Drosophila melanogaster: one gene and its partners. The protein of the gene in region 3 interacts with the protein of the main gene of each other region in a pairwise test. Each region holds a gene or a part of one and is shown on either strand. Other genes may lie near its edges.

The links.
Region 1: the proteins of CG6933 (region 3) and zfh1 interact in a two-hybrid assay, tested with the Drosophila melanogaster proteins (one large-scale study listed by BioGRID).
Region 2: the proteins of CG6933 (region 3) and CG13066 interact in a two-hybrid assay, tested with the Drosophila melanogaster proteins (one large-scale study listed by BioGRID).
Region 4: the proteins of CG6933 (region 3) and Vsx2 interact in a two-hybrid assay, tested with the Drosophila melanogaster proteins (one large-scale study listed by BioGRID).

What each region holds. Positions count from the first base shown.
Region 1 is NT_033777.3:30,763,955-30,768,944, forward strand, and holds the start of zfh1 (Zn finger homeodomain 1), read left to right. Parts: upstream 1-1,971; 5' UTR 1,972-2,329; coding exon 2,330-2,426; intron 2,427-4,990. UniProt on the Drosophila melanogaster protein: Involved in the development of the embryonic central nervous system, embryonic mesoderm and adult musculature.
Region 2 is NT_037436.4:16,271,215-16,274,129, reverse strand, and holds CG13066 (uncharacterized protein), read right to left. Parts: upstream 1,222-2,915; 5' UTR 1,164-1,221; coding exon 1,152-1,163; intron 953-1,151; coding exon 683-952; 3' UTR 522-682; downstream 1-521. Other genes in the region: CG13067 (uncharacterized protein), read right to left, coding at 2,478-2,705, 2,779-2,790.
Region 3 is NT_037436.4:20,217,953-20,222,260, forward strand, and holds CG6933 (uncharacterized protein), read right to left. Parts: upstream 2,469-4,308; 5' UTR 2,400-2,468; coding exon of another isoform or gene 2,393-2,399; intron 2,284-2,392; 5' UTR 2,152-2,283; coding exon 2,109-2,151; intron 1,712-2,108; coding exon 663-1,711; 3' UTR 550-662; downstream 1-549. Other genes in the region: CG17145 (uncharacterized protein), read left to right, coding at 3,900-3,906, 3,968-4,308.
Region 4 is NC_004354.4:5,557,133-5,561,876, forward strand, and holds the start of Vsx2 (visual system homeobox 2), read right to left. Parts: upstream 3,052-4,744; 5' UTR 2,831-3,051; coding exon 2,278-2,830; intron 1-2,277.

The DNA of each region.
Region 1 (4,990 bases), on a different chromosome or scaffold from region 3:
AAGATCTACAAAACTCGGGGAGGTACGAGCTCATTGCAAGAGATGAATTATTTTCAAGTCCAGACATAAATATCTATTCTGATTCATTCTCGCATATATCTTATTGAGTCATTTTCCCACTTCATCAGCCTCCAATTTTCCCTGGGGCTTTTCCGCCAATCGAACGAGCGCAACAGGTGCAACCGATGGACGACCAATGTGCGCACCTTGCTCGCTTCTCATTAAACACCCACGCCACCTCACACAGATACTCAACACACGCGCACGCGAGTGAACGGCAACTAATTAACATACAAAATGAATGCGAGGCAACAAAAAAAAAGCGGCCTCTCCGGCGGCTATCTCTCTCTCCCTCTCTCTCGCTTGCACCGCCGGCGCTCTCTTTCCCGCTCATGGCAGTACGTTTCAAGTGAGAAAATTATGAAGCTCCACCTATTTTACACTTACACACACGTAGCGACCGCGTTTGTGAGTGTATGGGTGTGTGAGGGAGAAGGGGGAACACATGTTAACCGCATTAAAAATTAATGTACAAATTGTTTATTATGTTGTCGAGTCCGCCTTTTGTTTTTGCTTTTTATCAAAGAGAGCATGTTTCGCTTTTTTTTTCGATAACACAATTTCTGTTACCATAAATATCTTTTTATCCATTTATACTTTTAGTTTTCAAATCTATATGTTTCTTTGAGCAGCAAAATATAAAGTACAAAAAAAGCAACATCCCAAGGGGCCGCCAAAACTTGTTGATGGAGCCAAAGAATCAAGCCACTCGCATTCTGCTCTCTTCGTTAGAATTCTTCGGTTGTCCGGGATCTCTTGGATCTCTGTTCTTCTGTCATTTTGTAGACGTGTCCATTGATGGACATTCTCAAGAACTCGCCCATCAGCAAACGATGTCATTAATGTGTGGCAATCGCGGAACGATTTCGGTATTTCTTACTCGGAAATCGCAGCAGAGGAAATTTTGCAATCGCAAGTGCAAATGATTTTGTCCGTTAACGCAGCGATGTGGCCAGGAAAGGGTTAAGGGATTCCCTGGAAAAAAGAAATCCCCTTTATCTCGCACCGCCAAATTTACCCGAAAGAAAAACGATCGAAAGCTTTCTTGAGTGGGGAATTAATCATAGCGATATGCATACATATGTGTGTAATTCCCACACGGGGAATATTTTGTCATAAACTTGATTTACCGGAAAGACTTAAAAAATTATAATACAAGTATATAATTAAACTATCTTATTGCTGTTCAATTCTGGGAATTTCAGATAATTCCTATTTATTGTTGAGTATTAAACTGTTTATTAAAAATATTTCCTAATTATAACAATTAAATATGTAAATCACTTAAGCTCTACACTTTAATATTGATACCCAGCAGCACAGAGTATTAATAAAATAACACCGAAATAAATTTGACGGTTGGCGGAAAAGTTAATGGAAAGACTCATAAGTCGCTTTATCAATAAAAACGAAATTTTGTGCAAATGTTAATATAGTCAAATCCCGCATAACGGCCATATGTTTACGAGCAGCACGATGAACAAAAGAGGCCACCCTTACGTAGTGCTTACGTCACGGGATAACCGAGAGGAGCGGCACTAACAGCGCTTAACATTTACGATATGCGATAACAGAGAGCTGTTATGTTAAGAATGAAGCGCTCTCGCTTCTCTGGCACCACCACCAACACACCACCCATCAGAGCATTAGAGCACCAACCACACTACCCCCGCCCGAATCACCTCGTACATCGGAACGGTGAACCGTTACACCGTTATATTATGCTGGTGGTGGCACGGAGCACACACACAAACAGCGCCGCCCTCTCTCACTCGCTCTCCGTGGAAACGTAGAACCCCGCCGTATCGCCCTCGCCCGAAACTCACAGTTCGCATCCGACGGATTCGGTAGAGGACGTCGGTCTCTGTTTCGTTCTCGGATTTGGCTTGATGCTTCGAAACTTAGAACTCTGAATTCAGTTGCATCGTAGACGTCGCGACGGCAGCACACGCGTCGCTCACCCACAGAGAAAACTCTGAGCAGCACACAGTAGAATCACGCAGATATAGAACGCAGATCAGTGAAATCGCCCACAAAATAAAAACAAACGCGACACTCGCAGCGGCGCATCGCGAAGAAAAATCCCAGTGTTTCCCATGTTCGAAAGATAAAAAACCCAAGGCCCTTGCCCAAATGGCCGCCACAACACGTGTGTGCTCTATAAGAAAGAAATAACGCCGAGCCCAGAAGAACCCACTAGCCAACTAGCCAACTAGCCAAACAAACTATCCGCATCAAAGTAGAGCAAGTGTTGCAACAAGCATTCCAAATGTTGTCCTGTCTGGCGCCGTCGTCTTCACGTTTCGGCCAAGAGGATACCATCATTCAGCAGAGCATGCCCTCCACCTCCCCCTTCGCCATGCAGTGTAAGTGATCAGAACGCGGATCTGGAGCACAGATCTCGGGTGATTCATCCGCAAACCGCCTCCATTATCACCAATCAGCCGTGCCATAGAACTTTGTGTTCAAGTGATTCGCGCGCCAAGACTCGGTAGCTTCGATTTGAAGATCCCCACATGCAAGCTTAGCAGTTTCCCAGAAACCATCCGCCATCTTGGGTATATGTGTGGTCTCCACCTTCAGGGGATCATAAGAATGAGTAGCTATAGAAAAACAAACTCATAAACGGCGAGTAAGGATCGAGGCAGGTCTCGAATTACCATTACCTACTCCTACGCAGAGAACGGGCTCCGGTTCTCAAAAAGGAGAGAGCGAGCCCGAAACCGAAAAAGTTTGCCCGATCAGCACACTGAGAGAAAACTGGGTCACTTTGTGCAACTTCTATACGCTTTGAGAACTTAAAGAACTTATTGTTGTTCAACTATAATCATTCGCTGGTTTTCAGCTACGAAAGTCCTTTTCCATGAGCTAAAACTACAATATAGTTAAAATTAGTACGGTTTAACATGGCAGATCATTCGATTTCTTATATCTATTGGTCATATCACGCTCTTCACACATGAAAGTCGGCCAGTCGATCTTGAATAATGGCATTATTCCCTGCATTGCATAGCATAGCCACCTCTCTGTTCCTCCCAGTGGCCGACCAATTGCAGCCACATCTCAATTTGATTTGTTGGCACCGCCGAAACAGCACCGCCGCCTTGCCAGTAATCTCCACCCACCGAGAACCAGGTAGAGCTACCCCTGACCAGGAAAACCGCATGCGCAGGCTGAAACAGCAGACGACAGGTAGCTAACTTGGCCAACACCATTACCGCGATGCCGCACCTCCATTTAAGAACCTGTTTTATGGCCATATTGCTGGTCGCTTGCCACTCTGTTTATCGAGTGTAAACAAAGCATAAAACTGTCAGTGGGCAGAGCTCATCGGTTGAAATGGAAGGTGTGAGAAAGAGCCGAAATTAATTGAAAACGCTTAGTTGGGGAGCATTGGGGATGGCGCAATGCTGGGGAAACGCCCACGATTCGTTCGGTGCTCCACTCCTCCGACTCTGACAATTGATAAGCCAGCTAAAGAGACGGATTAATTGCACATGTTCGGTGGAAACGGTTGAAACGGTGGCAACACCGCTGCCATAAATTATAATTTATGGCTATTTAAGCAGCTCCGTTCTCTGTGGGCGGAACTAAAAGCCCTCGAACACGATAGTTTGGCTAATCGATCAGAGATGGCTGCGCACAGGTTGGCCCACATATCTTCGATCCATATACTTTCCGCTTGTTTTCCGTCTCTTCCCTGGGCAAACCGAGCTGCTTGATGGCGCTGGGCAGCTGCGACTGCGATGGATATTAATCGCCGGCTACATACGAAATGCTGTTCGCTGGGCTTTTGGAAAAGCCGGGGGAAAACGCCAGCCAGCCAGCCAGCTAGTCAGCCAGCCAGCTAGTCAAGTTGTACTAATTTTCCGGCTGCTCGGCGTGTGTTGTGTCGCATTTCGAAACGGCTCCAAAATGCCGTAAATCAAAGATTTCGCCCTGGCGAAAACCTGTCGCCTGTTATCACCTTCGACTACGCCCCTTAGCTAAATATACTCTAAATATACTCTATGTATAAATCAGCGCCAATTTCCATTCCCATTTTCGCCCATCGAAGCCCTGAGCAGAAATTAAACATTTATCTGACATTTGCATCTTCGATTGGGAATACCTACCTAGTGTGTGTGTTCCACCAGCAACAAGATTGCCTCCTGTCTAATTAATCATTTTGGCTGCTGTCAGTGGATGTCAGTTTTATATGCTGGTGCTGTCGGTGCTGCCATTTATAACTCCTGGCCGGCTCATCCTGCATCTTTCACCGGGCACAGGACTCTGCCCCGTCAGCTGGTAATCGAAATTAAACAAACTTGGCCCCACAAACTATCTGGCAACTGGCATGCAAAGATGATTAATTTTGCCGATGCCTATCTCAAGTGGAGTTGGAGACTTCGGCCCGACTTTGCCCAAAATAAACAGACTGTGTCTTTAAATTGCAATTGAGCCAGGCTACAGAGCAAAAAAAAAAAAGGAAGCTCCCCATTTGCAACCAGCACAAAAGGACAATAAATCAATGAGGGGAAAGTCCTCTTTGATATCCTGCTGCAGATTCCCTTTATTCCGTGTTCAACCTGCCGCAGCTTTGGGCAAATTATTTGCCACATTTTACTTTTATTTCGCATTTTGGCCAAAAAGTAAATTGTTTGCCAATATTTTTTGCTGCTCGCTTTTTGCCGCCGTCGTGCACACAATTGAAACAAAGATAACTTTGAAACAGTTGTAAAGTGAAAATTGCACGGAATGCAGCCCGCCTCCTTGCGAATATATTTTTTCTTATTTATTTAATGCCCGCCGCTCTCCACGAGACAACAATTGCTACCCGTGCTATCCCCCGAAAAAAAAGTGCCAAAAAATCGGCGCAAACAAAAGGGTGCCCCCTGCCACCCAACCCTTGCAACACCCCCTTAAAAAAGGTGTTGCCAAAGGGCAGGCA
Region 2 (2,915 bases), 3.9 Mb from region 3:
GCGAGCTGGCCACATAGACCTCGAAGGGTCAGGGGGGTATCAGGGCTAAGGGGGTGCGAACTGCGTAAACAAAGCTCAAGGATTGCGTCCTGGAACGTGGCGAAGTGTCGATGAACCAAAGTGGGCGCACAAACAGGCCAGAGTTGGGCACACCCTTGGAGGGCACTCTGTCATATGGGAGCTGTCTAATGAAAATGGTGGCCTGATTTAACCTTAAACGAATTCATTCTTCTCATCATATAATAGTTTAAAGTGCTCTGGTGACCATTGCAAATGTTAAAAATTAAAGCTTGCAGCACTCGTTAATAATTCAAATGAAATCCCTTATCTTGAACTTATAATTCTATGTAATACCACAAACTAAAGCTATATATATATACTTCCCATCCAGGTATCTATTGCAATAAGACGGCGCTTCCCAAGAGCAACCTGCACTATCTGTTTCCTTTGAAGAAAAGTCCCGATGCCCACGGCAAGATTAAAATTAAACGGAAGGAATAAAACTCGATTCACTTCTCAGTCGGTCAGTGCGTGGGCCTGATGCATTGCGTTTTAATTTCTGTTTGCCTGCGAGCATGTATCTCCATCTCTGTTTGTATCTGTATCTTTCGCCGTGGCAGTGACGACGTCCGGTGGACACGTGCGGCAGCCTTGCGGAATCCCTTTGCCATCCTGGGACATCTTACTTCTTGAGGATGGTGGCCACAGGGGCGGCGGCATAAACGGCTGGCAGGGCGGCGCTGTGGGCCACACTGTGGGCACTGTAGCTACTGGCATAGGGGGCCACGTAGGGGGCGTAGGCAGGGGTGTAGGCGGCGGTGTAGGCGAGGGGTGCGGCAGCGGGCAGGGAGCTGTACGCCAGTGGAGTGGAGTAGGCCAGAGGGGCATTGTAGGCCAGCAGACCAGGATTGGCAGCAGCGGCGGCGAACAGGGCGCACAGGACAACGGCAAACTGCAGGATAAAATGCATACAAAAAGTACATTAAAATACACATTTACAAGAAGTTTTATAAATATAAAAAATTGTTTGAAAAATCTACACTGTTTGATAATAGTTTTATTTCGAACACACGCGTTTTTGTTTGTATTTAGGATTGTGAATTGTTGCATTTTTGAAACATTGTATCCTTAAAAAAATGTTGGAAACTTACGAATTTCATCATTTTAATTGATTTGGTTGTGTTAGCGTCGAAGTTAGACTTCTGATTGATGTCTTGTGCTGAGTTCGAAGTGGTTTATATAGGTAAATATACATAGCATCCTTGACAAAGCCCATTGAAAAAGCAAAAACCCAGCAAGTTTAAAGCATTTCCATCACGTACCAGGGCTAAAACAGGGCCAAACATTTGGTCTCTTTTTACTGGCACAATTATAATGTTGCAGATTTGTGTTTGTCGATATGCCTGCGAATAGTACGCATTCCTTGTGAATTTATTATTGAAAATGAATGTTTTTTCCCGCTCATCTTGAGCATTTCCGCAACTGGCGTCAGCAGCTGTCGTTTGCCGATTGAATTATCATAATTTAGCACTCAGTGCGTTTTGTGGGCTGTGAACGTGCGTGTCATTCCAACCGTCTTGGCCATCTCCGGAGTTCGGCTCACTCTGTACGTTTCAATTGTCAGCCACTCGAACACGCCACTTTGCATTCTAATCAGAGATGCAAGTAAAAATAGAAGCGGTTTATCCAGTTTCGAAGGACGTCATCGAGTTGAGCCCTTGGCTTAAGGTTGAGGACACCAGAAACAGGGAATCGAAAGCTTTGCATAAATGGAATCGCGAGTTCAATAAACCGGAGGTCTCGTTGACCCTATTAATCCAATGCAAACATGGACATTCCACCACGAAGAACACAACCTCCTTTACACTTCCTTTTTTTTTAACAAATAATAGGTTTTAAGTCCAAAAAATAATTTCCAATGTATCAAAGCAATTTATTGATACAAAGCTTAAAAAAGTCATTGATTCCTTCCAGCCCACCAAAATTAAAAAATGTAGGGGCTAGCAATTTATGAAACTAGTGTGAGAAATATTTACTGAAAATATGATATCACCTACTTTATAAATAATATTTCCATTGGATTTTAATGTATACCAAATTTAGTACTTAGTACCCATTGCAAAAGAGTACTGCCTAAAAGTATGTGATTATACATACTCCCTTCACATTAGAGATGAATAAGTGATGCAATAAATTATGAACAAGTGGTATACGTTTTACGCAAAATGCAGTATTTATTTCAACAAAAATATTCCCTTTCTTGAAGTGGTATGTCCTGTTCCCATGACTTAACTTTCAGCAGTCGGCAGAGGTGGGGAAATGTAGAGTCTGTCGAACTAACACCAGGGATGTAAGAAGATTGGATGTTGCAGGTGGTTAGCAGGAAGGTGTGTATCCTTGTTGCAATAGATGTGTATATGTTTATATTCAGGTCCAGTTCAGCAGTCAGGTTAAGATCACGATCCATTCATCCAGTCTTAACGGTAGTAGGCGGCATAGGGGTAGGCGGAGTAGGCGGACGCATAGGGGTACGTGTAGGCGGAGTAGGCGGCGGCCACTGGAGCGGTGTATGCCGCGGTGTAGGCAGCCGAGTAAGGAGCAGCTGCCACATAGGGAGCGGAGTAGGCGCTGTAGGCCAGAGGAGAAGCGAGCACCGCCGGCTTGGCAGAGACGCAGGCCACGATGGCGAACAGGCACAGAGCGAACTGAAAGGATAGGAAAAGTGCTTATGAGTAATCCGTTGTTTGGTGGCAAGTCCAGCTATCCTGCGATCCTTACGTATTTGAACATGTTGGCTGTTTGGGTTGGTTGTGAACTGTTGGTTCTCAAGTACTAGACTGATATCTCCTAGTGCCCGAGTACTCGGGTATATATAGCAGAATCGGTCGAGAAAATTCCATTCCAATTCCCCACAT
Region 3 (4,308 bases):
TCACGTGTCTCTTTTATTTTTGATCTGTCCTTTAGCTTGGTTCAACAGCGACTGACTGCCGCGCTCTCTGCAGAGTGGCGAGTCGATTAGTCGATAAGTTTCTCGATAATATTTGTATGTTAAGGATGGGTGTATGAGTGTATAAGCTTATGACTAGATTGGCTATGTATAATTAGGTATGTATGACTAAGAGTAAAGGAAGAGGGTAGAAGGAGCAGCCTACTACAATACTAGGCTTTGAAGTACTGAATTCAAAACAATATCTCAATGCTGACGTCAATCAAGTAACTTCTCCAGAAATTTCCCAAGCAATGGGGTTTTACTGTTCCACCTTCTTCTAATACAATAGATGGAGGCCATTGAATTTTTTTAATTAATTATTTAATTAACTTAGCTTGGCAGATAACATTTACAAATACCCATCCCGCAGAAATTATATTTATATTTTGAGGCACATTTTCTGTGAGCCTCTTTTTGAAAGATTTGCTACCAAAAAGGCGAACAACTAATCAACAATTTCAAAAACAACAACATTTAAAACAAATTTCGCTTGGTCGAAGTCAACATTTTTATTAGTTTCTTTTGAATGCCTTCAGCATTGGTATTTATTTATATATTTCATAAAAGGTATCTCGGCAAACAGACGTGGCTGGAGGAGATGCTCATGTACTAGCCGTCGAATTACAAATGGCGTAATCGGGAATTTTGGTGGTGCAGATATTGTTCACCTCGTCGTAGTACGGCGCATTGGTGGGACATGATCCGGTTATTCCGCTGGAGCAGATTGTGTAGTTCTTGCAACCCTCATCTGCCATGAATGGATTGTTAACGTTCCCACATCGGTTATGGGTACAGACAAAGGAGGCTGGCGAAACGCACTTGCCAGCATTGAATTGGGTACCGGTGGGACATTGGTTCCAATAGCCAGTGGCGTTTACTGCTGCACAGTAGTAGTACCCATAGCAGGTGACACCATCAGAAACGTACCTATAGTCAACAGATTCCCCATTTACAGTAAGTGGATCTGCTGCTTTAAAAGCTTCTTCGTCACAAGCAGTTGCATTTGTTTGCCCAACAGTGAACTGGTCAGAGTTTCCACTGTTTGAATCTTCGCCGGTGCACGGATTCGTCGACTGGCAGTTGCCAGTGGCTTTATTATAGTAGGGATTGGCGGTGCTGGAACATTTTTCGGAAGTGCCATAGCCGTTGACGCAGTTGATGTAGTTGCCGCACTGGTTCGGATCGCCTACAAAGATGTTGGACAACATGAACCGACAGATGGTGTCCTGCGGGCAGGCGGGTCCCCATATACATTTTGTGGAGGATGCCGAATAGACGCCGCCGGTGCCGCAATCGCCATAGGAGATTTGGCCTGTGCCATCGCAGTAGGCGTATTCGGTGCAGTTCAACGGATTGGCCACATACATGGGAGATTTGACGTTGGAGCATGTCTCAACGGCACTGGTGGAGCACACCGTGGTATTAGCGTAATCACAGCTGCCGGCCTGCGCGTTGAACACCAAGCCGTTGGGACAGGTGCCCCAGGCCACAACCTCCTGGTTCTTGCAGTATCCCCAGGCATGGCAGTTGCTCGGATTGCCGATGTATCCATAGCCCGACCACTGTTGGCACAGATCATCCATCGTGTAGCCGGTGGCCTGCGATGCCATTAGGAGACATGCGGCCACGACACAGATCCTCATATTGATTGCTAAATGGGGGATACAGGGGGATACGAACTATGAATTATTAAATAAAATATAGACATGTGTAATCGTCGAATAGTTTTCTATTTTGTTTGTACTTAATAATGCAAAGAAATTATGCTAGAAACGACAAAATTGATAGCTTTCAATCCAAAATTCGTGTTAGCGTCTCTAAAATTGGTTAAGCCTTTGTTGTAGCCAACACGGCAGCCCTTTTTTTGGATAAAAAATCAATTAAGGACGAAAGAAAAACTCAATTTGAGTAACAAATCGAAATTTGAAAGTCATTTTAGCCATTTTTGAAAGTCATCTCCTTTGCAGGAGAATTTCAGGGCCTTAAAACCATGTTTGAAACCACTTTTCAAAATTTAGTCGAAGCAAGACGTCTTGAATACTGTGCACCTGAGATAACTGTATCCGTTCTTCGAGCCAACGTACCTCCCATCTTGGAATGCTAATATTTTTCGGGGACAAATTCACTTGATAGACAGACGACCGAAGCGAACGTTCCGATTTCGTTACTAACTCAATCAATTGCAGCCTTTGCGTTTTTATAGTTGACAATTCGCGGCGCGAACTGGGTGGGTAATTAAAAAATTGTCAGCCAGATAAGCCAGCCGCCAGTAGGGCGTTAGTATCGAAATTAATGCTAGATAAGATTCTAAGGTCTGGGGTAAACCACGCACCTTGCATCCCTCCGAAGTTGTTGGGTTAGCTTGAAGGCGGTTCGAAGGCGTTGGACGACGAAAGTGAAACTAGCGGACCCGGCCAAAATGGACTGGCTTATAAGCTCAAATCGATTCTTGGCCAGCGGACACCATACATACTTAGTTTAGTATGTATATATAGTTTATATATATTTTTATACGTTGACAGCCGCGCCGGAATTTGGATTATCAGCTGCTGATTGCGAACCCTCTTTGTCTATAATTGTTTTTTAATTTCGAAGAAGCTCGAGGAGGCGGGAAAGTGTCACGGCTCTTATTGATCACTCAGTGGTGTTTCCCTGGTATCTCGGCACTCATTTCAGCAACACGACATTAGTTAGATATCTCAATTTGAATCGCACTGCGACTCTTGACTTGACTTGACTAGACTTTCCTCTGAAGGTTATCAGGTTCTGGGGAAAAATTACCGAACTACAAATGTTTATATTAATAACTTGTCCAAAAGAACCGTTTGAACTGAAATACAAAATAAATAAATCGCACTATGAAATTATGAAATTATGAGTTATATATATTTATTTATTTGTATGCATAATTAAATAGTACAATTATATGCAAGTATTTTGAAATTTTATTATCTATCTATATAATCTATAAAAATAATTGATGTTAATGTTTAATAACAAAAACCCCATTTTTTTAGTCAGTTTTATTTTCCGTTAAACTATTTTAAATCTATCCGCCTTATTTTATTGTTTCGCCTAAAAGCGAGTTTTGTCCGTTTAGAAATTCGCCCATAAGTATGCAATGACATTTAAACACTTTACTCGATACTTTTTCCAAATCACAAGGCATTTTCGAAGTAATTTAAATTCTTAAAAAATAGTTCAAGCTACGTGCTTATTTACTTTTTATATTTAATTGGTAGAGTACTAAAAATGTTTTTTTTTTTATAATAAAGAAGGGAAGCTCTCTATTAACCCACTAAGCCTTATGAATTAAACCAGCTGATCTTGCTCTTCATTTTATTACTATTTTTTGGCCGAAATGATAACTTATCTACTTCCTATTTAATTTACCGGTAGCCAATTGGCAATCTCCAACTTGTTTATAAAATCACCATTCACTACGACTAGAAATCACCCAGTACTTTAGCAACGAAAAATATAATTAATTTTTTCTGAAGTAAAATTTTATGAATGCTCCTTAAAAACATTAAATTTATAAATACAATTTTATCAAACATTCCCATTTTTTGTGCTCTATCATTTACCTTTTCAAAAATATTATATAGCAAATCCCTAAGCAAAATCAATACATTTGATTGTAATCTTCGAGCTTTTAACAAATGACTTCTATTCATCTTTATTTAACCCATCTTACCCAGTTGAATACCCCTCAAAAACCAATCCGCTTATCTTGCCAGCAAATAGTGATTGCTGCTTATCCTCTGATATTTATAAGTAATCGCAGGTCGACGTTCAGATTCAGTACGAGTTTATGCTTTGTCCAAAGTTGAGCTGTAATGGAAAGTGAGTGGATTGCAAACTGCCAGTGGTGTAAATCTAACTTTATTGTTTTTTCAAATTGCAGAATTTGGTGCCATACTGGGCGTGGCACTGGTGCTACTGCTTCAAGGCCTAGATGTGGTTAATGGCCGGAATGAGGACATCTGCCGCTTGTTCTCCAATAATACGGTGATCCGAGATCCCGAATCCTGCAGTCAATCGATCACGTGCATCGATTCCGTCAGCTACTACAGTACATGCACGGGATCTACTCCGTTTTTCGACAAGGACACGGGCAAATGCGTTAAGTCACTGTCCACTTCCACGTCCAGCTGCTCGATATCCTGCGCGGATCGGGCCAAGCAATTCGTGGCCGACCCCAAGTCCTGCTACGGCTACTATTACTGTGCGGACGAGGAGACGGCC
Region 4 (4,744 bases), on a different chromosome or scaffold from region 3:
AAAATTGTCAATTAAATGTGTGGCGGTGTGGTGTGCGAAGAAAAAGCGCTTTTCTTATTGTCGTTGGGCAACCAATTTTCCGATTTGGGTTTTCCCTTCTGGTAAAAGATCAAAGGCACTTAATGGAGGGCGCCAAGTACTCAGCTCTGGACAGGAAATCCGTCCGAAATCCGGCCAGAAATTCGCTCGCGATTCGACCAAACCTGATGCGATTTTTTAATTGACGAGCTGGCCACGCAAATGGGTATAAAATCAACAACGGATACCCGAAATATTCGTACGACAACGAAGCGAGTTGAAAATATGCAAAATTAAATAGGATGACGCGAATGAAAAGCAGAAAGCACGGCTAAACAGAACAGAAGAAAATGGGGAGTGAACTAATAAGCACGACTACTGCATACCCTAAAACATATAAGCCTTTCCTAATTTATAAGCTTTTACCACAGGCAGACCACTTTCTCTATCTCTATTTATGAGCACGACTATTACATACCCTAGAATATATGCTTTTAGCGGAGGCAACCCACTCTCTCTCATCATCGCAGAGCAACTCGCCCTGTTTATTGCACCAAAACTAATGAGCACAACTATTACATACTACATACATTACCACTATTTATAAAACCTTAACTAATTGGTCATAGTTTAAATTGTAATCCCAGTCTGCTAGCCCATACTACCCATAACTATTTAGCAGCTAAGAGCAGTGCTCTTTCCCACATTTATTAAACGCAAATTACGACGAAACTGTGGAAATGGGCGATAAACGGATAGGAGTATTGTAATTAAAATAACGCATAAACATCGAGCCAAAAAGAAAGCCGCACAACATGCGAAATCAATAAAAAAAAAAATAATAATAATAAGACCCCAAAAAAAAGGGTCCGGAAGTGTAGGGGTAAACAGATTTGAAATCAAGAAATCAGATTCAATCTACTCATATATGTATCTACATATCCACATAAGTTGAGTGAGTGCGCAGTGAAATTGGCACAGTGAATCAGTTGCAGAGCAATGGAAATCGGTGATGACGATGATGATATTTCAACGCTAATTAAAATAATAATAACAATAATAACAGCTGCCACTTGAATCTGCAAGATTATCTGCAGAGCCTCGCACTTTTCACAGTGAAAGAAATTTGGCTAAACGCTTCAGGATTTTGTTATTAATGCCATTCCAGATATAGTTCACAAATCCAATGAGAAATATAACAATTTGAAGTGCTTATGTTGTTAATCAACTGCTTACTTCTGGCAGCCAGCAACTAGTTCCTAGTTTTTTACCGTGTATCCAATCCCTGCACGGCTTTTCATGCCTTTCTGTTTATCTGCCTTCACTGTCATCGCTCCAACTTCGTATGATATTGCCACTTGCAAATGAGCTTTGAATCGAGAGAGACAGCAGGTCGACTCGAGTTCACTGTTAGTGTGTGGGATTTTCTTGCAGTGTGCGTGTTTCATTGCCTGTGCTGATCGCCAAACAAAGGCGCACCTACAGTGGCACAAAAGCGACCAAAAACCTACTCGAAAAGCATACCAAGCTTATTATAAATTGATTCGGATTTCCACTGATTCTAGAATTTTATTTAAACAATATGAAAACTAACTATTGTCGTTAGTGTGCCCAAACTATTGCAACAATTGTGAAGCCCAGTTTTTGCTATGCTCAAACCAGAGTGCAACACACACACAAACACTCACACACACACATCCACACACAGTGCAATTAGCAGCTCAACTTGAGTGGTGGTGCTTTGGATTGGAGTGGCTTCGGAGGCGGATTGCCGGATTGCCGGATCGGTGGAGCGGTGGTGCGGATGCGGGCGTTGTGTCGTTTGCAGTGGGGCCAAAGCTGATTTGGCGGACGATGGACCGCTGATTAATTCCTTTTTTATGCTAACTAAGCGGCACTCCAGACACCGATTCGCCCCACTGTGTGTGCGTGTGCGTGTGAATCGAATGTATCTGTATCTGAATCTGAATCTGTAAATGTATCTGAGCATGTGTATATGTGCGCCTGTGTTGGTGTGTCTGGCAGGTGACAAAACCAGTTGCGATTGCTAATTGCGTTTAAGCTTTGATTGTCAGTGTAAATACATCGAACAAAAGATTTTTAAAATCGCTATAGCGAAATATATGTAAGTTAGCTACGGCACTTTTCAACTTTCCCATGTTCAGTATATGCATAAATGAAAAAAATATATATATCTGTGTTTTACTAACTGCAATTAACTGCAATTTGAGTGGTTCGCTGGCGGGGACATTGGCTTACCCTGCGCGTGCAGCAGCGGGTGGTGCGGATGGTGGGGGTGGTGGTGCTGCATCGGCGGCGGCGGCGGTGGCCCGCCAACGGCTCCGTGTGGGTGGTGCGGGTGGTGGTGTGGATGGTGCTGGTGCTGATGCTGATGATGATGGTGCACCGCCGCGGCCAGTTGGTGGGGCATAAAGGCCGCTGCCACCGCCGCATGGGCATTGAAGTAGGCCATTCGCGAGGCGGCCGCCATGGTCATTTGGTGGTGCTCCCTGTACTGATGGTGGTGCGGCTGGTGGTGCTGCTGCTCTTGTTGCTGCTGCTGCGGCTGCTGCTGTGGCTCCGAAACGCTCGTTAAATTGCCTTCGGCCGCATTTGTTGGTGTTGCTGCCGTAGCTGCTGATGTTGCTGCTGTTGCCATTGTGGCATTTGTTGTCTTTGGCGGCGTTGGCGTTTGGCGCTCTTTTGCCACCGTTGCACCGGCAGTTGTCGTCAGATCGGTTGGCGCTTCTGTGGCCGCCGCCACCGCCAAGCCCAGCAGCTCCTGAATGGCAAATGGCGAACGCTGCGGCATTTTCGATTGCTAATATTTCGATTTACGTCTAGATATTGCCGTTGTCAAAACAAATCGCTTGAAAACATCATGCAGTCCCAATTGAGAAACCCAGAAAACAAAAAAAAAAACAAAGCAAAGGCAAGTTTTGCAATGTTGTAAAGACTACGCGAAATGGGATTTGCGAATGGAGGTTTTGAGATTTTGCGCTGGCACGCGTCGCAGAAAAACACACAACAAATTCGCAATAATTTCCACGTTAAACTGTTGCCTGCGTTAATGTGCACCAGGAGTTTTGTCGTCGCAGTTGCTGTTTCTGTTTGCTGTTGCTGTTGCTGTCGTGCTGTTGCTGCCGTTATGTTGCTGCTGGTGGTTGGCTTTCGACTTGGCTTTGCATTTCGCTTTGGATTTGGCCAAGGAGGCATTCAGCTAACAAACGGTAAACGGCCAGCGGAGCTTTGCTCTTCCGAGGACCTCAAATCGCATGGCAAGCGCAGCAGCAACATTTGCAGCAGCAGCAGCAACACCAACAGCAGCAGCAACAGCAGTAACGGCGGCAACGGCGGCAAAAGCAGCGCGCCGACAGCGACGCTCGCGTCGACTGCGCTGCCCGGCAACGGTAAATATTCAGGGGCGGTCTCTGTCGCACGCTAGCCGCACTCTTCGCCGCTCAGCGAGTGCGAGGGAGTCAGCAGCATATGGGCCTTCCCCTCGGCAACATGGCGCATGTGCGACATCCATTCGCCGTTAGAGTGAGGAGAGCAGCAAGCGCCTTCCAAGCACCATCTAGCCGTGCTCTTCTCGCACACGCGTAACCTTCCAGTTTTCCCGCGAACTTCCAGTTCGGACCGAAACGCATTAGTGTTGGTGCGCTGCTTGCCGTTGTATTGGTGCCCGATTGCCACAGTGTGCGGCGCCCATTTTGTGTGAGTGAAAGAGAGCCAGAGAGCGCAAGAGTGGGAGAGGGCATGGTCAACAGGGCTGGGGTGGCGCAAAAAAAGGCGCAAGAAAACAACTATTTCGCAGACCCGAACTCGAACTCGGAACTCCAACCGCTCTCCGTTCAATGAAGGACGCCAATTTATGGCCCAAAAAACGAGCCACCATTCGGTTTCCAGCTGGTAGAAACTACTCACTTGTCGGCCGCCTAACAATGCCTTTCCCTTCCCCAAAAAAAAGGCAGTCTAATTAAAATTTTCGCCAAAAACTTGTACTATTGAAATGCGTAAATTAGCATTTACACCACGTCCTGTGTGCATGAGTGTGTGCGTGTGTGCCAGTGGGAGAGTCCTTGCTGCGCAGTTTTGCAGGATTTCAAGAGATTTTGGGGTCGTGCTATGTGGGTTATTGTTCTCGGAGAAATGTCCCGAAATTCGGCAAAATAATTCGGCTTGATTTCGGCAGCAGTCGAAAAGTAGAGCTTGTAATGGACTTGCAAATTACTGCTAGGCAATTGAGGGACTTACAATTAACTCGGTCCCGAAAGGGATCTCCTACAAAAGGCCATACACAGATAGAAAAAACGTGTTGATATTTAATTCTCAAAAAAATATATAAATATATTTTGTTACGCATCGATTATATTCTATATACACGCATTGATTTCTATTTAAAGAAAATAAAGACACCAGCAATTGGAAAGCCACGATCAGTGGCAGGCAAACGGGTCTTTTGGGGCTTTTCTCACGCCCCCACACAGTGAGCTCTGCCTATGGAGAAACCCACGCGGCAATTAGACAATTGAAATGCCAACGCTCACACGGCCATCGCAGCGAAATCGGAGCGGATCGAAACGAAACGGAATCACAGATCATATATATGTATATACATATATGTATGTAAGTATGTACATATCCGTCGGGCCACGCAGTCTGGCATTTGGAAATAAAAGAAAGAGAGGCAACGTGGTCGTGCGAGAGAGAAAGAGAGCGAGGG